Lonchura striata: one gene and its partners. The protein of the gene in region 3 purifies or fractionates together with the protein of the main gene of each other region. This does not show direct contact. Links are inferred from orthologs where the notes say so. Each region holds a gene or a part of one and is shown on either strand. Other genes may lie near its edges.

Region 1 (7,524 bases), on a different chromosome or scaffold from region 3:
TGTCCAAAGGCTGTTTTTTATGGCAGGTAGTACAGAACCTGATGGCTGTGTTGCTGTCTGTTTCTGTAAGTCAGTCACTGTATTTCTGCTATGATTGTTTGCTGACCTTGTAGGGCACTTTGCCATTGTGGACCCTCTGGGTGGAGTGGAGTGAGAGCACAAACAGCAAGGAAGACACTGAAGCTCTCTACCAGGTACTTAGCTAATCGAAATCTACTTTTATGTCTTTGTCAATAACGTGAAACAATGTGTGTGGATGGAACATGCAACAAATGCTTTCTCCTGAAGTTTGTTCATGTGTGTATTGATGTCAAAGAATTTAAAGCAAAACTACGTGCATTAAAAAAACCAGTTGGTCATAGACTTACAGGCACAAGTGTCATTCCCATGTCCTAAGGAATATGGATGTTTGTAAGCACAGCCAATGATGGACTCCTACTTTGTGGTCTAGAATATTTGCTCTGTTTTCAGATACCTATCTGAGCACAGAAAAGAGAATTTTCCAGTTTTTGTGAAAACATCAGTCTTGTTACAGAAAAGTCAAGATCAGAATGAGGACTTTAATCTCTCTATGGATTTCGTCAGTAGTGTAGGACAAAACATTTTCTCTTTGCCTGGCTTATTGGGTTGTGTTTCTTCCTCCCAGTTGCCACATAAAACATGTACTTCAGGTGGAAGCTTGAATTCAGTTGTTTGTAGAGTACTGTGAAACCCTTTGCAATAAGGGGTTTAAGGAAATGTCAGTTCCAGCCATATAGAATACTGGAGGAGAAATGTGTTTTAGATTTAGGAGATCTCCTTTGTGTCAGATGCCTAACTAGGGAGAAGCACTAATTGAGCTATTTAATTGTAGGTTATGTGATAGGTTTACTTTTTGTTTATTTTGTTTTTTTTTTCCTTTTAAACTTGCAGAGATCCTTACGTGCCACAACACCTGCTGAATCTGTGACTATGAAAGAAAGGTACCTTGACTGGACTTACAGAAATAGTGGTTATAAGAAAGTTAAAAGACTCTTTACCAGGTAAAAAAAATACCTTCAAACCTGATTATTCTAGGGTATATGTTAGAAGTCCTTAAATCTAAAGTAACTTATTTTATTTCAGCCTGTGTGAAGATCGTCCATTTTCACTTGACTTCTTCAGGAAGATGATCCAAATAGAAAAGGAGCAAGTAAGTTCTTGACTATCCAATTAATGCTTTGTATTTGTAAAGTACAGTTCTAACCTGGGATTTAAATAGGAAGCAGAGTGGTGGTGTTAGTCTGTGATCAGTTCATGTTTGTCCTCTGCACTTGATTCACAGGATGTGATACAAACCCAAGTTCCATAGTAACTAATCTTCAGCAGTGTGTGCATGTAATTGCCATTACTCTCTTTCTTTGTCACAGTCGAATCATGCTGCAGATTCACTTCTGTACAAAATAAGTGGCCTTTTAATACCTTCCTTTTTTAGGAATCCTGCAGAATGCTTCATCTGAGAGAATATTATGAACGTGCCTTGAGGGAGTTTGGCTCAACAAATACTGGTGAGGGAGATTCTGGTTTTTATTATTTATTCATTCATTCACTGCTGCCTCTTTTATTCCCACCCATTTTAAAATGTACCTGTTTGTTCTGCTCTTGTGCTTGCTGTCATGCAGATTGGAGCTTATTTCTTCTGTGCCATTAAGAGTAGGACACTGCAGGGACCCTCTCCCCTGTCATCCCAGGATCACTGACACTGGGATGGCTTCAGCACAATTAGGAGCAAATCACATTCAGACACTGGCTGGCATAAGAGATGTGTATCATTTTAAATTTGGATTTATGAACAGTATGGAGCTATATATTTATAATCAAGATTTCTGCAGTATTAATTTGAAGAAGGTACGCAGCACAATTATTGTTGCATTATTTCTTCAGACATTACTGTTCCAGTTGGAATATAGAACCCAGGATTTTTGCTCCTCAAGGTGCCAGAGATTTTAGTCTTACAAAGTAAACTGTACTGCATTAATATTAGAGACACTTAGAAAAAGAGTTTCTAGTGAGTCTTGATATGCTTGTTAAGTAATATCTGGTCAAAATCTAAACAGAACTTTCATTTTCCTTTTAAAGACCTCTGGCTGGATTATATCAAGGAGGAGCTAAGTCATCCCCAAGGCAAACCAGAAAACTGTGGGAGCATTCACTGGCGAGCTATGAAGATGTTGCAGGGAGATCTGGTGGAAGATTTTGTTTCTAAATACACTTTATTACAAACTGGACATTTATGAAAAACTATACATAGTTATAACATGACTGCATTTTTTAACTTCTTTGTACAAAGGTAAATACGTTCCTGGACTTTATTAAAGTTTACCTTTACATTTTATGTGACAAAAAAGACTCATCTTCTCTGTTGCAGTAATTTCTTTCTAGTGTTGATTCTGCCAGGGGCAGGTTCAAGTGCACAGTCAGAGGAAGCAAACCCCTGAGGGTGTTTTCATCAAGACTTCTAAAGAGCAAACTTTTGATCCTGCTTAAACATTCAGATAGTTGTAGTGCATCAGTTTTTACACTTTGGAAAGCTAATATTACAGCACCCAAATGCAAAAAACCCAAACCAAACCCCATGGAAACTACACCTGTGGGTCATATTTTTATTGTAGGAAGCTGAATCATAAAAAGTGGAACACTTTTCATTAGGTAATCAGAAATCAGTAAAATTACAATGTTTATTGCTTCTTAGCGTAGAACTAATCTGTAATCCTCATGACAAAAAGAAACAGCCTCTGCAGCTCCCTTGCATTGGTGTTTGCATCTTGAGAGTGATGAAGGGTAGAGGGGAGCTGAGATCTGTTAGCCATGTCCTTGAGGTGAGAGGGGAAAGCTCTGATCTACACTTCCAATTTTCTGTCCACCATGCCTAAAAAACGTGTAATGTTTTTTAAAAGGGTGCTGTCCTTGGCTGTTTACAGAGCCACAAACCTGAGAAATCACCATAAATGATCAACTGAGAAATGTAGGGAAAGTACAAAAATATTAAACAAGTGTTCCTTTGTGCAATTTCCCAGTGACTGAAGGGTGACATAATTATAAGACAGGGAAATATTTATTGATTTTACACTCAAGTAGAAATTGCAGCTCCTCTCAAGCAATGAATCCCAGTAACTTAACTAGCTGGAAATAAAGTTTGGAGCAGCAGTTTGGTAAGATTCTTCTGTTACCAGATCTGAAGTACATTCTGCTTTTGTGTTTCCCACACTTTTAGCCAGGCCATCTCCTATATCCCTGCTAGTTCGCTTCCACCTCATTGTCTGACATTGAGATTTCCTTATTGAGAATCTCTTACACCCTCCCTGCCCCTTATGCTCTTACTCCCTCTCTGAACCACTTCTTGCTTCGTCAGTTGCTCAACTAAAAGTTTTTAAGTGCAAAGTCTGGAGTTTTAAAGTCCAACAAAGCTGGTAACTCCATCATTTCAGAAAGTGGGCCCTTTTCTGTCAGCTGTTCTGGTTCCTCACAGAACTTTGCCATTCTCCCCAGGGCAACATGCCCTGCAAGCACACGTGCTTGAAACCTGCCACAGCTGTCCAGCCAAGGTGCTTCCCGTCTCTTCGTGTTCTGAGCATGCTGCTACCACGAGGCCGGAAGGAAATTGTTATTTTTCGACAAGGGGGAAAGTCCGCCCAGCCATGAGAGACATCGATACTTTATTTACAACTTCACAAGTAAAAAAGTGCTTTCTCAGAGCTCTTACGCCTGTATTTGCCTCGGTTGGATGGCGGTGTTGGGCCATGGTTGCACTAGACGATCTCGGAGGACTTTCCGTCGGAATCGTGTCTGTGATTCCGAAGCTGGGCGCGGTGGGCTCCGCAGCCGGGGCGCTGCGGGCGGCGTTGCGGGCACCGAGGCCGGGCCGGGAGCGGCCGCGCCGTGCCTGCAGCCTCCGCCCGGTGCCGCAGCGATCCCGCCCGCCGGCGCTGCCGATGGAGCCCCGGGGCCGGGCCGCGGGCCCCGCTCCCAAGGTTCGGGGGTCCCGGGGAGAGCGAGGGGGCGGCGGGGCCGCCGTGAGGGCTCGTCCGGGGTCCGCGCCCTGCCCGCACCGCCTCCTTGTCGCGCTGGGAGTGAGGGCAGCTCGCTGTGCCCTTCCCGCACAGGCGCTGAGGGTCTCCTGCTCGCCACGCATCGCGTCCAGCCCCTCAGGGCTGTCGGAGGGTCCCGCAGGGCGGCTGGCTCAGTGTTGGCGCTTCCTCCACTCCTCGTGTGGCGATTACCCCTGTGCTGCCCGCGGTGCTGCCCTCCCGGAGGGGCACGGTGTGGGCCGGGGCTGTGCGTGAGGAGACGGGCTGTTCTGAGGGTGAGCGATGGCAGCAGCAGAATTAGCTGTAGCTCTGCAGGCTCACCTTCTGAAGTGAAAGCCAGTTTGTTGTTAAACCTGTGATTCATCAAGGGAACAAATGGAGACGCTCGGGAGCACACGGGGTAGCAGTTTGGTGAGCAATCAGAGCTGCTACTGCATTCTTTAAAAATGTCTCGTAGGTGATGGCTGCCGCCTCTGGGGCTGCAAACTCTGAGGGGGAACAGCTTCCTAATAAGACAGAAACCATGATCGGGAAGCCCAGAAAAGGTAGGACAAAACAAAGGAGGTCGTGAATATTGAAACTTGTGCACTACTTGAGAAATCTACCGAAAACCTTTTGGTGATTCTTGGGAAATGCTCTTTACTTACTGCACTAAATTATTTCCATGTAGCTATTTGGTACATGAGTAATTAATCAATATGACTTTTTTTTAAAAAAACAGAACTTTTTTTAAAATACCTACAGGTGAATGTGATGAAACAAGACTGTTGTGTCCTTTGCCCTAGTTTACAGAGTTATTTTCCAACAAGAGTCTGTGGAAAATCCTGATTTGTGCTGGTGTTGTGGTGCAAGGCTATGTCCACTCTTTCCAATCATCTGAAATGTGAAGCACCTCTGTAGTGATATTACATATCTGGGAAACTGCATGTATTACAATAAGAGTAGTAGTCACAAAGTGCATTTTTGTACCTCTCTGAACTCTTAATTGTTGTTTAATTTCTGAATGTATCTGTTGGTGCTTTCTACTGGTTTTAGAATGTTTTCTGCAGAATATTCCAAATGTTCCTGATGGCAAGTCTGAAGAAAGTGAATCTGCTTCTACCTCCCCCAATGAAGATGATGTCAGTGGCTCTACTAATGAGGGCTGGTACAATATATATGCTGACCTGGATGTGTGGGATAGTGAAGTTTCTAATGTGCCTGAGTCTTCAGGGCAGCAGGATGCATCTGAGCATGAGGTGGAGGACTGGGATAAAGAATTGGAGGAGTCTACATGTGGTCCTTACGGTGAGTACACGTTTACTTGTGCTTCATTTGAGTTTTGGATAGTTGGAGGCAGGTGCTTTGCAGGAGAATGTGTTTAAGTAACTCCAAGTTTTATTTTGGGAAGCAATTTCTCGTTATGTTGACCTCCTGGATGTGTAATGAACAATTTTGTTGTCAAATACAGGATTTAAAGGTGGTGTTGTGCATTTCACATGGAACTCTTGCTTGAGCAATTGAATTCCTAGGGAGTGGCATGGTAAGGAGGTGAATTCCATGCTTGTGCTGAGTTTTTCTGGTGAAGCAAGTTTTCAGTGGTGTATCTTTGTTATTTTGAAGCAGAAGAGAAAGGTACATGGCATGCAGGAACTAACTTTTTTGTGTAAAAGTTATTCAAGAAAATTCAAGATTGTTAATTATAATGTCTTTCTAGAGCATGGAGGTGTTTGGAACAGTGCTCAGTCTCTGAGTATGGCTTATGTTTACTGTAGTTTTTTTTTTTATTATTTTTTGGTGGTTTTTTTGGTTTGTTTGTTTGTTTGACTTTGGTTTTGTTGAAGCTTGATCCTCCTAAGTGGTTGTGCACATGACCAGTCCCATGGACAAAAGTGGCAACAAATAAGAGTGTCGCTCAAACATTTAGAGTTGAATTATTCCTCCAGTTTGTAACTTGTTTTTATGGTGACTCACATATGAAAAAGTCTCCATTGGCCAGGCTGGTTCTTAGCACAGAACGGGTGGGATGGGGTTTAGCCAGCAGTGGCTGATAACCTGCTGTGTCTTTCTTGATGCAGAATAGCACCATTTCCATTTTTTCTTCTCATTAATGTGTATCTTTTTGTAATTAAGATAATTTTCTTTGCTTAGGAAATATGTTCATTTTAATCTCATAATTAGAATAAACTTTTGTATTTTAATTCCATTTATTTCCATTTAAATTCCATCTATTTCCATTACCATTGTTTGGTAATGGAAGAAAGTGAGAAAGATTTTCATGCTTTCTGTGAAACCACTCTTGATTTTAAAATGGAAATATAGTATTGGTTTTGCACAGTGGGTAATTTGAGGAAAAGATTGTTCCCTTTTTGGAGGTTTTCCCTCTCTTCCATTCGGAGCTTTCATTTTAATCACTTATATGGTCAAATTTATGGAATGTTTTGAATTTTGTACTGGAACTGTTCCTCTTTTTCCCCCTTTATTTAACTTGCTCATCCCACCTGTAGCTCTTTAAATCCTCACAAACTAAGGCAGCTGTGTTTATTGGATTCGGGTCCTTCTGAAGGATACTAAATACGAGCGAGCATCTGAGTTGTTAACTGCTACAAATAGGAAAATGTACTTGGTTGGTCACTTCATGGCTTTTTAAGTGTCTTAAGCTCTTGCTGTGATGACTTGTTTGGCAGTGCTGCTGGAAGGCTGACATGTGGGATATTGTGTTGGGTCCTCCATGCTCTGGGCTTTTTCTTTGCTCAGTGTCTGCTGGCAAATCTTTATGCTTCTGTTAAAATACTTCGACCTATTTTTTGCTAGATTGGTTAAATACAGGCCCATTAGGCTTAATTCTAGCCTAGTGGAAATACTGTTCTAAGACAGCTTTTACAGGACCCCACCCTCCCATTCTGTCCAGCAACCCAGCTCTTAGAGGGTTTGGAGGACTCCTCATTGGGATGGTGTTATGAAAGCAGCAGGAAGGGGGAAGGCAAATAAAATTGATAGTTTCATGAGTCTTTTATTCCCAGGGAAGATGGGAAAAAATTGTATGTCTTGTAAGAGCTGGTGCCAGACATTCTAAGTCCCAGGAATATCAGTGAGCTTTCTGGAAAACTGTTTTGTGTGGCATGAACCTTCCTTAAAATGAAGACATTGCCAAAGTCAGTTTTCTGTTTGGCTTTTTTAAAGGTCTAATTCATAAGTGCTGTCAGATCAAATAAAAATAGTGAACTGGAAGATGCCATAGACCTCCATAATAACCTGCTACACTATTTCCACTACTTTCCTGAGTATCTCCCATGGTTTAAACCTTTTATTTTATCTTCTTTAGATGCTGACGATCTCTCCTGTGGAAGCTTTGAGGAAAATAATCTTTTCGGCTCATATGTATGGAAGGAGGATTGGTTTTACAACCCAGGCTGTCACCACGCACCGTGCTTTGTTTTTCCACCGCGAGTTAGAGCAGTTGAGAAGGGCCAGTTTGATGATGCTGATGAATGAGGCT
Region 2 (7,862 bases), on a different chromosome or scaffold from region 3:
TGGTAATATCACGTGCATGTAAAACATGCTGCGTTAAAACTTTTTTAAATGGAAATCATGGTGGCATAGTGCTCAAAGGGTTAACTGCAGTTTATTAACAGCTAATGTTTTTAGATTTGCAGTACACAACTGTTTAAATACTGTATTCCTTGTAAATGAAGTAAGAAAAAATGTTAAGGCTGGTGCCAATATTTTTGTTAATGAATTGTTCAGCGTTGTCTCTCACTACAGTCTGGTCAGAACTCTTTGTGTATAAGCTGGGCCTGAAGCCATTTTATAGCTTGTAGGCCTAATTGTGTAACTTTTCTTTCATAATGGTTTTGTTATAATATCTACTGTCATTTCTTTCATATAAATATGACATGTAAATTGTCATAATAAAAAAAAATTGAAATAACTTGATGTACAAAGTATAATGTGTATTGCAGATACAAGTGCTTTTTAATGAGCGTTACACATGCACATACCCTTTTTAGTTTTAGAGCAAGCACTGAGTAATGGCTGCTGTGTATTGTTCCAGCCCGTGATGGTGCTACTGTCTGCCATGGGAATGGGCAACTCCTGGTTTATGTTGGTTTTGTTATGGCAGCTCAACTGACAGAACATTCCTTTCTTTGAGCAGCTCTGGCTGATGGTGGGGAAGACCTGATGGATTTGTTTTTGCAGTCACTATGGTTTTCTCTGTGTGCTCCATCTTTTTATATACTTTTTATATCTCATCTCCTAGAGATTTTGCGGTCATTTGACAAAAACCAGTGTGCCTGCAGCCAGCCCTGTACCCAGGAAGGCTGTGCCAGCAGACAGCCATGAGGTGTTCATGTGGTGCTCCTGACAGGTTCATTTATTTAGGTTGAGATGTGTAAAACTTGGAAAAGTTGGGGGAAAAAATGGAAATCTGCAGAGACACACTGAAGAAACAGATGTTCTGACACATGGCAATGGACATGGATGATTTTCAGGACTTCAACAGGAGAAAGTCAGGGAGAAATAAACAAATTGAAGAAGAGAGTGGCTTTTCTGTGTGAATTGCTGAAGCCTGTCAGTCTTTATTTTGAATGTATCTGTGGCTACAGTCAAGCTGCTGTGTGTTTTTGTGTGATGAGAAATTGTTGTGAAATTCATCCTTTTGCTCCAAATCCACTGCCAAAACTTTACACTTCCATTTTTAACAGATTCTGGGCATCTAAGTCTGAACTGGCCACCTTATGGCAGGCAGTGCTGTGGAGAGAAACAAGCTCCTCTGGATGGTGGCTCCTGCCTTCTGTGCTAAGGTGACAAGGTACCTGCTGCTCTCCATTGCCTCCGAACACAGCCCTGGTTAACTAAATCACTGTTGGACACCCAGTGTTCAGACAGCACTGGGGCTGGATCCGAATTCATTTCTTAAAGCTCTTAGAGCCGAAGGAGGGTTTTCAGGTAATGCCATTCTGTTCCATTCTAACTTAGAGGAAACATCTGCCTTCCCTCTCTAAGCTTCTCGTAGGTGCAGCACTCAGTACTCTGGTGTGAAGTGTCTGGATTGTGTAAATAAGGAAGATGTGGGTTTCTCCTCCTCTTTTAATGCCTCATCCTCAAAACCAGTTTTCTGCCTGGGCTTAAACTATCCCTTTCCCCACTTTTTTGGAAGAGTGGTGTGTCACAGAAGACTTGCATTTGCATGCAGGAAGAGAAATAAACTCCGTATTACTCCACTGCAGCAACTTCAACCAGCAGTAATCCAACCCCAACCACTCAGAAATTTTAATTTATAACAACCTAAAGTTGTTCTTTACTTTGGAGTTAACTACAAAGGTGGTGAGAACTCTCTGTGGCTGATATGACAACCACATTAGGTAAGAGGGGCTGAACATCAACAGGAGCATTGCTTTATAGCCCCTAAGTGCAGTGAATGGTATTTCCATGTATTTGGATCTCTTCCCACCAGCTGCCATAGTCTGATCTGTGTTCTTGGATGAACTGCAAATTTTTGTTTCCAGTTGACCACTTGTCTTGGTGTGGCAAACTTGAAAATTATTGATAACTTCCCCTTTTCTCATCTCCTGTTGCCTCTGTTGGTTTTTTCAAGCTATTCCAGCAGTGCTTACATATCACTTCACTGTGAAATTTGCTTTCATTTTGGTCTAGGTAATTATTTGTATGAGTAACAATTATTTGCGTTATTATTTGTGTAATTAAAATCCAAAATGGGTAGGCATGGTTGGCCAGCTTTCCAAAACATTGTCAATACCTCAGACTAAGAGAACCATGTTATGTTCTGGTCTTTGCTATCCAAGACCATAGATAGGAAAGTCCAGAGAAAGGAAAGATGGAGACCTAGTCTCATTAATTGGCTCATGTTTGTGAGAACCTGCGTTTGCACACAGGTAGCTAAATTACTCCTAAAAAGTAAATTTTAAACTGATTAAAGGGAAGGTTAACTCCCATGACAAGCTAACAACTTGCTTTTGATATGTTGCTATGGCAGGAGCATTTGCCATCCTGACAAGTAGAGAGAATGGATGTTTGCATTGATGCTGTCTCACTGATGGCATTAGCAGAAGCATCCCCTGGCAGAGATGTACTTCACTGATGCATCAGTAATCGCTGTTTCTCACTGCAGTAGCAAGAGAAATGGGGTAAATCCAGGGAAGAAGCAGGACCAGTGCTCATGAAGGGGTGGCAGCCTTCCCATCCCTGAAATGTGCTGTCCTGCAACACCGCCCGCTCGCCAGGTCCTGCAGTAGTGTCAGGTGCTGACCCCAATTCATCACTGCTGAGAAAATCAACTGGATACCCTTTAAGCAATTCAGGTACTTGTGATTTTCTTTTTCTTCTCCATGTGCATATATGAGACGTTAGGTGGTGGTCACCCACCAGAATTTCCCCTTCCAGCATCCAACAATGGTAATTGTGAATCTGCTGTATTTCTTTGTTATTGTTATCTTTCCCTCTGTCACCTGGGCAATGAGACTTACAGGTTAAAATAGGTATGGCAGAGATCAAGAAGCATTTGGAAAAAGCTCTCAAGCACAAGGTGTGATTGTTGTGGTGTCCTGTGCAGGGCTGGCAGATGGACTGGATGATCAATGTGGGTCCCTTCCAATTCAGGATACTCAATGGTTCTGTGACTGCTCTTGGTGCTGTCGATTATAGAATCTGAACGTTTTGGGTTGGAAGGGACATTAAAGACATGTTTCAACCATCTTGTTCCAAACCCCCTGCTGTGGGCAGGGACAGCTTCCACTAGATCAGATTGCTCAGAGCCCCATCCAACCTGTCCTTGAACACTTCCAGGGATGGGGCAGCCACACCTTCTCTGGGCAACCTGTGCCAGTGCCTCACCACCCTCACAGGGAAGAATTCCTTCACAGTATCTAATCTCACTCCGCCCTCTGTCAATTTGAATCTCTTTCCCCTTGTCCAAAGTCCCTCTCCAGCTTTCTTGTATCCCCTTTAGGTCCTGGAAGGAGCTGTACGGTCTCCCTGGAGCCTCCTCTTCGGAGAACATCTCTCAGCCTGTCTCCACAGCAGAGGCGCTCCAGCCCTCAGCGGTCACCTCAGCGCTGCCCTTGGCTCCTCTTTTCCACTCAAAGACGACCTCACTCGGACCCGCCCGCGGCACCCCGAGCCGCGGCCGCACCGGGCCCCGCGGAACGGGAGCGGAGCCGTGTCATCCCGGGGCGGAGCCGTGACATCCCGGGCGGAGCCGTGTCATCCCGGGGCGGAGCCGTGACATCCCGGGCGGAGCCGTGACATCCCGGGGCGGAGCCGTGACATCCCGGGGCGGAGCCGCGGCATCCCGGGGCGGAGCCGTGACATCCCGGGGCGGAGCCGTGGCGTCCCGGGCGGAGCCGTGACATCCCGGGGCGGTGCCATCGCATCCCGGGCGGAGCCGTGACATCCCGGGGCGGTGCCATCGCATCCCGGGCGGAGCCGTGACATCCCGGGCGGAGCCGTGGCGTCCCGGGGCGGAGCCGTGACATCCCGGGGCGGTGCCATGGCATCCCGGGGCGGAGCTGTGGCGTCCCGGGGCGGAGCCGTGACATCCCGGGGCGGTGCCATGGCGTCCCGGGGCGGTGCCATCGCGCCCCGGGCGGAGCCGTGGCGTCCCGGGCGGAGCCGTGGCATCCCGGGGCGGAGCCGTGACATCCCGGGGCGGAGCCGTGACATCCCGGGGCGGTGCCATGGCGTCCCGGGGCGGTGCCGTGACATCCCGGGGCGGAGCCGTGGCGTCCCGGGCGGAGCCGTGGCGTCCCGGGCGGAGCCGTGGCATCCCGGGGCGGAGCCGCGGCATCCCGGGGCGGAGCCGTGACATCCCGGGGCGGAGCCGTGGCGTCCCGGGCGGAGCCGTGACATCCCGGGGCGGTGCCATCGCATCCCGGGCGGAGCCGTGACATCCCGGGCGGAGCCGTGGCGTCCCGGGGCGGTGCCATGGCGTCCCGGGGCGGAGCCGTGGCGTCCCGGGCGGAGCCGTGGCGTCCCGGGGCGGTGCCATCGCGTCCCGGGCGGAGCCGCGGCGCCCCGGGGCGGAGCCGTGGCGTCCCGGGCGGAGCCGTGGCGTCCCGGGCGGAGCCGTGACATCCCGGGGCGGAGCCGCGGCGCCCCGGGCGGAGCCGTGGCGTCCCGGGCGGAGCCATCGCGTCCCGGGCGGAGCCGTGACATCCCGGGGCGGAGCCGTGGCGTCCCGGGCGGAGCCGTGGCGTCCCGGGCGGAGCCGTGACATCCCGGGGCGGAGCCGCGGCGCCCCGGGCGGAGCCGTGGCGTCCCGGGCGGAGCCGTGACATCCCGGGGCGGAGCCGTGACATCCCGGGGCGGAGCCGTGGCATCCCGGGGCGGAGCCATCGCGTCCCGGGCGGAGCCGCGGCGGCCCGGGCGGAACGGCATCACGGAGCGGCGCGTTCCGCTTCCGGCGGCCGCGGCGGTGCAGCAGGGCGGCGGCGGCGGCGCCATGAGCTTCCTCAAGCGCTTCCCGCCGCCGTCCGACGGCGTCCGCCACCAGCAGCCGGACACGGAGGCGCTGCTGGCGGGGCGCAGCCTGGGCTCCGGCACGCTGTACATCGCCGAGAGGTGCGGGGACACCGGGCCGGGAGCCCTCGGGCGCTGCCCCGGCCCTGAGGCCCCGGGATGTGGGGGAGGCCTCGGGGGCTGCGGGGCTCTGCGGGGCGTCCCGCGGCTCCGCTCGCTTTAAAGCAGGCAAGAGGCAGCGGTACCCGCTGGCTGGGGCATCCAGGGCCGGGCTGGATGGGGCTTGGAGCGACCTGGTCTAGTGGGAGGTGTCCCTGGCCAAGGCAGGGGCTTGGAACGACAGGGCTGTAAGGTTCCTCCCCACCAAACCGTTTTGTAAAACTCAGCATGGTGGAGAAATGTGCACTTGCAGCCCTGAAAGCCAGTTGTGTCCTGGGCCACAGCAAAAGCAGCGTGGCAGCTGGGCAAGAGAGGGAATTCTGCCCCACGGCTTTTGTGAGACTCCACCTGGAGCGCTCTATCCAGCACGGGAATCGCCAGCTAAAAGGACCTGGAAAGCTTGGAGCAAGCCCAGCAGACACCACACAGTTGATGAGGGGACTGGAGCACCTCTTCTGTGAAGACGGGCTGAGAAAGTTGTGTGGGGACCTCATGGCAACCTCCCAGTATCAGAATGGGCACGCGGGGAGGGCACAGAGGGGCTCTTTGACAGGAACTGTAGTGACAGGACAAGGAGGAATGGCTTCAGACTGAAAAAGAGCGCTAGATTGGTTTTTAGGAGAAAATTCCTTACTGTGAGCAGGGTGAGACCCTGGCACAGGTGGCCCAAAGAAACATTGCATGTCCCATTCTTGGAAGTGTTCAAGGCCAGGTTGGTTGTGGCTCCGAGCATCCTGGTGTACTGGAAGGTGTCCCTGCCCAAGGTAATGGATTGGAACTAGATGATCTTTCAGGTCTTTTCCAACCCAAACCATTCTATAATTAAAACCATGGCAACTCTCCTCTTTTAACAGGGGAGTAGACGGGGCTGGTTGGTTTCTGCTTTTAAGAACTACTCTGGTTCTGTGAAGTCTTTCATGTTGCATTAATCACATGGAGACTGTTTTTACCAGGCAGGAATTAGTCTAGTTATTCTGAAAGATGTTATCTGAGCTCTTTATGGTCTCCTTTCAGTTCTCCCTGCATTTTATAGCTCAGGGGGACAGCTTGATAATTAAAACCATGTAATTTTCTTTAACCATGGAAAAGTACTCATAATAGATTCTGTAACTGAAGAGCATTGTTGGAACAAAAACATAATTTAAAATGTGCACTTTTAAAAACCTCAGACTAGGAAACTTTTATGAAATGGCCATTATTGTTGGAGGAGCTTTTGCCCCATCAGAGCTTATTAATGCTGTGTTGGAGAGGAATCTCTCTGCATATTTGTTCACTGTTTTATTTAGTTTGGTTACAGCTACCAGGACTTCTGTTTGTGGGGTATCTGCTCTGAGGATGTATAATGTTGTGTTTCCTTGTAAGTTGCTTTCAGTAGACTTTAGTGTGAGGCGACTGCAGGTCTGCTAGTTTCCATGTATTTCAGTTGCACCACAGAGGTTTCACTAGAGTCTCTTGTTGGGATGAACAGAAAACACCAGTGTTTGCAGAAGTGCCATGGGAGAACAGGGTATCCAGGAGCATAATGTGGCTCTTGATCCATGTAGTGACTCTCCACCAGCAGCTGTAAACATTGAGGACTGGATAGTTGAGGCTAGGAAATAAACTCCTTGCTCCCACTGTACTAGCTTTTGCTCTCAGCCAGATTTTCTAATACCAGGAGTCTTCTGTGAGCTTTCCATTGGTTTTGTTCCACCACAAAAGCTTGTGAATGCTGAGTTTTGCACATGGTGGAGGTCTTGCTTTCTGGCACTGAGTATTTCTGTTCACTGTGTGACATCATTGATTACAGGCACCCAAATCTAGTTTGAGTTTGATTTCTCAGTATGTAGAAAGATGTTGATTGTTCTGATATGAAGGAGGCAGCATCCTGGGGGTGACAACCTGTGCTGTCCCATGCTGTGGTTAGGGATGACAGCAAAAATGGGGAAAGCAGAGGCTATAGCACATAAATTGTGACTGGAGGAATACCCATAACCTGGCTCTGCTGATCACAGAACTGGCTGTTTTCTGTCTACAGGCTATACCCACATCAGATCTATAATTCCCTAGGAATTATTATGTCACTGACTTGCCTTTCGGTGTTCTTTGTTTTCCTCTTTGGAAAACCACATTTAATAGCTTGAATTACAAATCATCTGAACCTCTGTAGTTGACTTTGGAATGCTAGATACCTGCAGGGAGAAGAAAATGGAGACGCAGGGAGGAAAATTCAGCATTTAGTGCAAATGAGATAAAGTTGTGATGGGTTTAGAGTTCTTAGCTTCACATTCTTTCAGCAAAGGTGTCTTTTACCTCAGCCATCAATTAATGCGGTTGCAAAGACCTGTTCAGGCAGGTCCAGGACCGTGTATGCCTGCAGAGTGGGCCAAGTGCCTTGTCCACAATTACTCATGTTTTGGGGGTGGTTTGCTTTTCTGCAAGCTTGAATCAGATACTGTCCTCCGTTAATTTCTAACTTTCTAAATTCCTCTTTTCCTCCCTCATTAGTCGCTTATCCTGGCTGGAAAACTCCGGAGTTGGCTTCTCCTTGGATTACCCCACTATAAGTTTGCACGCCGTCTCCAGGGACCCGAGTGCCTACCCAAGGGAGCATTTATACGTCATGGTGAACGCCAAGTTCGAAGGTAAGGAGTGTTGCTTGCTGCTCCCACACAGTCCTGGGTGACAGGATTTCCTCCTCAGTAGGAGGAAATGTTGGTTTTAAGTAATTGCTTGTATTTTCTTTTTTATTTTCCTGAAGGATAGTTACTGTAGAAGCA
Region 3 (6,954 bases):
TACTCACTGAAGACAAAGAAAGAAGGCAAAAAACATGTTTGAAATGCTACTGAGTTAGTCTGTCAAAAGAAGACTATACTTTTTTTTACTGAATTTCCTAGATATATAATAAATTTAGCAATGAACAGGAGCCAAGTTTGATGCACCACATTTAAATGATTTGGTTTACTTTTTTTTTTATTACACCACCTGTAACTGAAAAAAAAAAAAAGAAAACTATAAAAAAATAAAAAGCATTTTAGAGTGGTGGAAACCATCTGAGAGTACTTCCTCTTTTGTTGTAGTGCATTCCACTGCTCTTTATACCTATTTTCACTTCTCTGTTTGACTGTGTCAGGCCTGGTATGTGCACTATGTTCTCATGGAAAGAATAAGATTATATACTCATGTTATTCTCTCTCCAATTGTTTGGAGGCTATGTTTGTTGTCCAGTGGCTGCCTACCAAAAGCATGTAATTTGTAACTTCTTTAATTTTGAATTTTAATTTAATTTTAAATTAAATTTAGTTTTAAATTTATAATAACTGTAATTAAACATAATTTAAATATTAATTAAAATTTTAAATAATGTGTAATCAGAATAGGAACTGCAATGCAAATGCATTATTCCCTAAATTCATTACTTAGTTAATTCTAGGAACAACTCCAGCACCTGCATTTGGTATTCTTAGCACTTCTCTTTTATGTTATACATCTGTGAGGCCTGGCACTTACATATAAAATTTTGCAATATAAGTGCAAAAAAACTACTACTACTAATTTTATCAGAGAAGGGTATTTTCATCATTCAAGCCTCCATGGAATCTTACCATGGCTTCTTCTGGAAAGAAAGTATTGCTAGCTGAGTTCAAATTATCTTCCCCAGGAAGCTTTTTCTCAGTATCAAAACCTGAGAATGTCTTGAATAGAGAGACAGAGGGTTGAGGGAGAAAATGAGACATGTCTGTTATGGAGGCTACATTAATAATACAGTCCAGCACTGACTCCACATTTCTGCAAATGGCTCTTCATGAGGACCTACAACGGGCTTAATTGATAATTATTCTGGCAATGAAACATCTCCCAGGCTCCTGCATTCTCTTTTAGTATTGTTTTCTTTTTGCCAGCCCAACATTCTCCTTTGATGTGGTTGTTCTTCCTTGCCTAGGGGTTCCTTCTCTGGGAAAAAAATGTATCCACACCCAAAGACTGCTTCCAATCGACTATGCAGAAAGGTATGTTGGTTCTACAACAAGTGTTTCTATGACTTTGGAACTCTGTAGTTTTCTGAGAGGAATTAAGTTTTCCACAGTGTTTTCAGAGAATATTCATGGAGAAGATACAGCTGAGGAAAATAGGTATTTTGCTTGGAACTTAATGAATGCATCACTTGGCCTCCTCAGTGTGTATCCTTTTTCATCACGAGTCCTCTATTAAAAATATGATGGAACTACATTAATGTTCACAGCAGTATTCAAATATCATATTAGCTAATTTCTCTTTTATATATATGTGTGCCTATTCCATTTAAACCAATGTCTTGTATAAAGTGAAAATATATCCTAGAATATTGGAATATCAATCATACTGCATGAGACAGAGAAGATCCTGGTCACTTGTTGCGTTGCTGTAATAACTGCTCAGGACATAGCCATTTTCAGATAGGTTTTTGTATAAATCACCTAACAGTCCCTTGACCATGCTTTGTTCCCCCTTCTCTTGTTTCTCCATGCTCTGTACAGTCCATATTGTTCATGTGCTTCACTCATGCCATGGCAGTAAGAGCTGACCTCAAAATCTAACAAAGTCTGTTGATTTAAACAGGTTTTGCACCAGCTAAAGTTCTGTCAGACAGCACTGTGAACCACCAAGTACAGTGTGGCATACTTTGGCAGGGGAGGGGAGTGTGTTAGATAAATGTCACTAAAACTTGCTCATCCTAGCACATGGCACTTGAAATCCCTCTCGTTTAGCCTCACCAACAAGAACATACTGCTGTCAGATTTTCCAAGATGGGCTCAGAAGCACAGGTTGCTTCACAGAGCTGGCAAGCAGCATCTTTTCTTGCCACTGAGTTGTACATTTCATCCTGCAAATATGAAAAGGAAGCTCTTGATGCTCCTCTCAAGTCAGTCTTCTTCCAGGAAGGAGCAACACTGCAGTTCTCCCAGTGATTCTGAGTATGGTCTCAGCAGTTTCCCAGCTTCAGTGTGAACAGAATATATACCTGTCCTACATAATATGTTAAGTACAGAATTAGTGCATCTTTGAGTGTGAACAAACATTTTTTTACACTCAGTCTTCAGGAAATATAACAATGTAGCCACAAGAAGAGTAAGAGAGGTAGTATTTCTTTTGGAGTCTCATGTGACATGGAGCTACAGTGGTCCAAGGGAAATGCATGGTCTGATAGAGGTCTGTCCTCCCATGGATTAGGGGTGATAACTGGTAGATCTCTGACACTTTTATCATTCTCCTTCTGAAAGTATCACCATTGCTAGTGGACTGTTTCCCTTTACCCTGTTGAAGATGAATTGCTTGTAGAACAGTTTGTGCCTGCTTCCAAAGGAGCTCTTAAAACCTGGGACAAAAATTGTGTGCTGCACTCTAAGGCTGTCAAAAAAGCTTTGCAGAAGCCTGAAGGAATAAAAATGAGTGTGGAAATCCTCTGGCAGTATTATGTTTCCAACAGTCTCTTGTCATTACAATAAATGGACATATTTACTTAAGAGCACTGAATAATTTATTAGAGTGAAATAATCCTGTAGAACAGTATCTATGCACATGGATTAACCCACATGGATTAAGAGTCCTTCAACACCTGGTTCTAAAAGAAAGATCAGTAAACAGGTGATCTTAATCCAATTTCTGTTGTAGGTGGCTGTGCATTAGGGAAAATGAGCACAGAGACTCAAAGAACTGATTTTATGGTAGTGTTGCAGATGCAAATGACACCTATTGTATTAAATCTCTTTTAAAGGTGTCTCTACACAAGCATGCATGTTTTCTGCACAATCACAGTTTTTCCATAGCTTTTATACATACCACTTGGATAATGCAAAAACATCTACAAAAAAGAGACTGCATTTTAAAATGTAGTCATGTACCAGATAGCAAAAGCCCAGCACTCACTTTTATTTTCCTAATCCTACATTATGTCGGTATGTAAACAGAATATAATGTTATTCAATGCAAGGAGTGTTAGGAGCTAAGATGCTTCTAGCCAGGCCTGCAAATTTGGAATTCCTTTGGCTTCAATTAGAGCTTTATTTTAATAAAGATTGGAATTTAATATTTTAGAGTATACCAAATAAAACTTCTCAGTATCTACTGCATAGGACACAGATCATCACTTGTGTTTTAGGGAAAACAACCATGAATCTGTGGCAGGAATGGTCATTCCCAGTCAAGAATTGAGGGCTTGAAAACGCACTGTTTTTAAGGTTATATTATTGAATATTATAGAGATGTGCCACAGCTCATTGTTGACGTATCGGCAGCTGCCAGGGATTCAGAGAATCCCAGAATGGTTTGGGTCGGAAGGGACATTAAAGTTCATTTAGTTCCATCCCCCTGCCGTGGACAGGGACACCTCCACTAGCCCAGCTCGCTCCGAGCCCGGTCCGGCCTGGAACACTTCCAGGGATGGAGCATGCACAGATCCTCTGGGCACCTGTTCCAGAGCCGCACCACCCTCACATGGAAGAACTTTTTACCGCCATTTAATCTAACCCTACTCTCTTTCAGGGTGAAGCCATTCCCCACTGCAAGCCCTTGTAAAAGTCCCTCCGTGTGCCGGCTCCGGGCCCGCCCTGCGCAGGAGCCCGGCAAGCGGACGGGAATGAGAACGGGGTCGGGATCGGGAAAGGGAATGGGAAAGGGAACGGGAATGGGAACGGGAGCGGAAGCGGCGCTGGGGCGGGTCCGTGCCGGCCGCGCTCGCCCGCGCTGCTTTTGTCCCTCTGGCGGCGCCGTAGCGGCCGGGCCGGCGCCTGCGTCCCGCGGGCATCCCGGCTGCCGGATCCTCCCGGCTCCCGGCTCCCGGCTCCCGCCATGGATTACCGAGCGCTGGTGATGAGCCAGGTCGTGCCCGGGCAGTTCGACGATGCGGACTGCTCGGACAGGTGAGGGCGCGCCGAGGGGCCGGGGCTGCGGGCGCTGGGGCTGCGGGCCAGGCGAACGCGCGGAGCAGCCCCGGGATTTGCCCGGGATGTGACTTCGCCCTGGGCGGCGGGGAAGGGAGAGCGGGTGGTGCTGCCGCGTTACCGGAGGAGGTGAGAGGGAAGGCTGCGTGTGTCTCTCGGCTTCCCTTTTCCATTTCCCGTGCTGCTTTCGGACACTTGTCCTGGCAGAAAGCCGTGACACGTTATTGACGTTACAGAATCGCAGCATCAATTAGGTTGGAAAAGACCTCAGAGATCATCGAGGCCAAGCTGTGAGCCAGCACCACCGTGGCACTGAGTAACAAGTCCAGTCTTTCCTTAAACATCTGCAGGGACGGTGACTCCACCAGCTCCCTGGGCAATCCATTCCAATGTCTAACCACCCTTGCTGTGGAGAAATTCTTCCAAATTCTCCTGGTGCAACTTTGGGCCGTGTCCTCCTTTCCTGTCACTTGTTGCCTGGGAGAAGAGACCGACCGCACCTGGCCACAGCCTCCTTGCAGGCAGCTTTAGGGAGCGATCAGGTCCCCCCTGAGCCTCCTCTTCTCCAGGCTAAACACCCTCAGCTCCCTCAGTTGCTCCTCGTAGGACTTGTGCTCCAGAACCTTCACCAGCTTAATTTCCCTTTCCTAGACCTGATCCAGCACCTCAATATCCTTCCTGAATAGAAGGCCTCAGAACTGGACTCAGTGAATTAAGATCCAACTGAAAATTTAGTCATTTATGGGGATAAGTGTATTGAATTTTTGGTGACTGTAACAATAATTTTTAGTTATAGAGACATCTGTGTTTCTTTTAAGTGACTCTGTGGAAGACACAGAATCATGTAAAGAGGGTGAGGTCCCTGAGAGCTGCCAGTTATGCACGTGTGAAGAAGTTAATGCTGAAGAAGGAGATGGTGATGATAACAGTGATGCTGAAGAGGATGATGAAGACTGGGACTGGGATGATGAGGTGGGAAGACTCACAAAGCGCCACAATGCTGCTGGTGGATGCAATCCACAGGTATGCTGGAGGTCATTCTGTGGGCTTTGAGGGTGCCCAAGAGGTAATGGGGCCAGCCCGGAGGCTTTGTTTTTTGTTAGTGTTATGCTGAGTACAGATGCAAACAGCTCAGTGTTTTTTCAGAATTTTTTCCTTGAGAGAATCCCCTTCCTTTGCATCTGTTCCTCTGAGGTGCTGTATGTGTATGTACATTGTAGCCGGAGCTCAGTTTGATTTTCTTGTCTCAAACCCTGTTGCTGGATTCTCTGTGTCTGTCTCTACTGCAGTTTCCTTCTCTTCCCTACCTTCCTCAACTTCTCTTTCTTTGCTCACCCTGATCTCTACCAATGTTCCTAACTTTTTGGTATTTGTCCTCTGTGTTTCTGAGCATCTTCCTCAGCCTATTTATTTTTAGACTATCTGCTAATCACATGCAGGGTGAATCTAGTCCTATTTTTGACTTAATAGTGAAGAAGGCGAAGAAAACTACAAGCATGCGAAATGGAGCTGGGGGTGCTTGGAGTGAATTCATTTAGCATGTATGGTGTTGGCATAGAAACTCTGGCATGTTGCACTACAACACAAAATAACTTATACACAGTTCTAAGATCAAAAGAGTAAGAGGAAGTAAGTTTTATTTCTGACTTTGCAATATATAGAATTCCAAAAGTGACAGTGGATTGGAGGAAGAAATTGCCACCTCTCCAACCACACTAGTCAAACCAACAGTCTGTCAATTCTCTCTTCCCACAAAGAATGCAAAACAATCATTATTTACATGACAGTGCATGAGAAACTCCAGTAGAAATATGTAAACATCAGAAGGCATAGAAAACTTCTAAAAGAACTTTAAAATTTTTGAAAGAGCAGGGTGACACTGGCGTTGTGCAGAATAAAAAGCACTCATGAATGTAAAGAAGGATGCTAGTTCTCACATCAACTTGGACACTACAGGTTCAAAACCTCATTTTTCTTATTGCTACCAACTTAGTAGAACAGTAGAGATGAATCAGAGTGGTGCTGATCACAGCATAGCATGTCTGGCAGTGCTTGTCCTGGGTGGTATATTGCCTTTATTTAGAGGTTTATGCTGTTCAATGATGGTGAAATCATGTTCAGGTATTAGTTGTGTTTGGGGAGGACCACATGTAAGAAAAGACAAAATCATGGAAAGTTTTCTCAGTTCATTACCTCTGCATTTTTTCCTTACTTTATTTCTTTAGATTTTCTATTCTCTTCCTTTTACAGACAGAAAAAGTGCTCTGTGAGAGACTTGTAGCTTCCTAGACTAAAAGATTACTCTGGTGGAGGACTTTTAGAATTTTAACTGATGTGTAACTTGTATTTTCTTTTCTTGATTTAAATAAAATCTGGTGTTAATCCATATCTGTTTCCTTATATCTCATGTGCTTTTCATCTTACAGCTTTAGGCATAGGCATTTGAGATGACTTTTCCAATGAAATGGTTTGAATTAAAAAGGGCTGTGTACAGAACATGACTTATGTTAACAAATCCTTTATTTCAGGCAAATAGGCAGACACTTAATTGCTCTTCAGCAAAACTGTCAACCCCTGCAGGCAAGGTTTTAAGAAAATTTGAACACAAAATCAATTTAGGTGAGTATAATTGCACTATTGTCCATTATTTAAACAGTTGCCACTCTGTGGCATTCTCAGACTAATTTCACTCATGTTAAGCCAGAACTCACTGGAATGGGTGAGTTAGCCATTGCCGGAGAGATTAAAAATGGCTTTTGAGTACTTGAAGTTGCCTTTAGTCTCCAAGAACTGGGTGTCATACCCCCCCCCTCCACCTTCAGAACTACAT

Evidence for each region. The genes of interacting proteins can lie anywhere in the genome.
Region 1: the proteins of RIOK1 (region 3) and COPRS purify together in Homo sapiens (affinity purification with mass spectrometry; 3 studies listed by BioGRID and IntAct, with this or other methods). This does not show direct contact. The link is inferred for Lonchura striata from reciprocal best matches to the Homo sapiens genes RIOK1 and COPRS.
Region 2: the proteins of RIOK1 (region 3) and CLNS1A purify together in Homo sapiens (affinity purification with mass spectrometry; 3 studies listed by BioGRID and IntAct, with this or other methods). This does not show direct contact. The link is inferred for Lonchura striata from reciprocal best matches to the Homo sapiens genes RIOK1 and CLNS1A.

What each region holds. Positions count from the first base shown.
Region 1 is NC_134621.1:8,030,478-8,038,001, reverse strand, and holds COPRS (coordinator of PRMT5 and differentiation stimulator), read left to right. Parts: upstream 1-4,506; coding exon 4,507-4,591; intron 4,592-5,081; coding exon 5,082-5,333; intron 5,334-7,350; coding exon 7,351-7,520; downstream 7,521-7,524. Other genes in the region: UTP6 (U3 small nucleolar RNA-associated protein 6 homolog), read left to right, coding at 114-194, 913-1,022, 1,105-1,171, 1,454-1,526, 2,098-2,255. UniProt on the Homo sapiens protein: Histone-binding protein required for histone H4 methyltransferase activity of PRMT5.
Region 2 is NC_134604.1:32,435,835-32,443,696, reverse strand, and holds the start of CLNS1A (methylosome subunit pICln), read left to right. Parts: upstream 1-4,844; 5' UTR 4,845-4,927; coding exon 4,928-5,046; intron 5,047-7,590; coding exon 7,591-7,727; intron 7,728-7,862. UniProt on the Homo sapiens protein: Involved in both the assembly of spliceosomal snRNPs and the methylation of Sm proteins.
Region 3 is NC_134603.1:93,196,191-93,203,144, reverse strand, and holds the start of RIOK1 (serine/threonine-protein kinase RIO1), read left to right. Parts: upstream 1-3,944; 5' UTR 3,945-4,032; coding exon 4,033-4,103; intron 4,104-4,942; coding exon 4,943-5,147; intron 5,148-6,652; coding exon 6,653-6,743; intron 6,744-6,954. UniProt on the Homo sapiens protein: Involved in the final steps of cytoplasmic maturation of the 40S ribosomal subunit. Involved in processing of 18S-E pre-rRNA to the mature 18S rRNA. Required for the recycling of NOB1 and PNO1 from the late 40S precursor.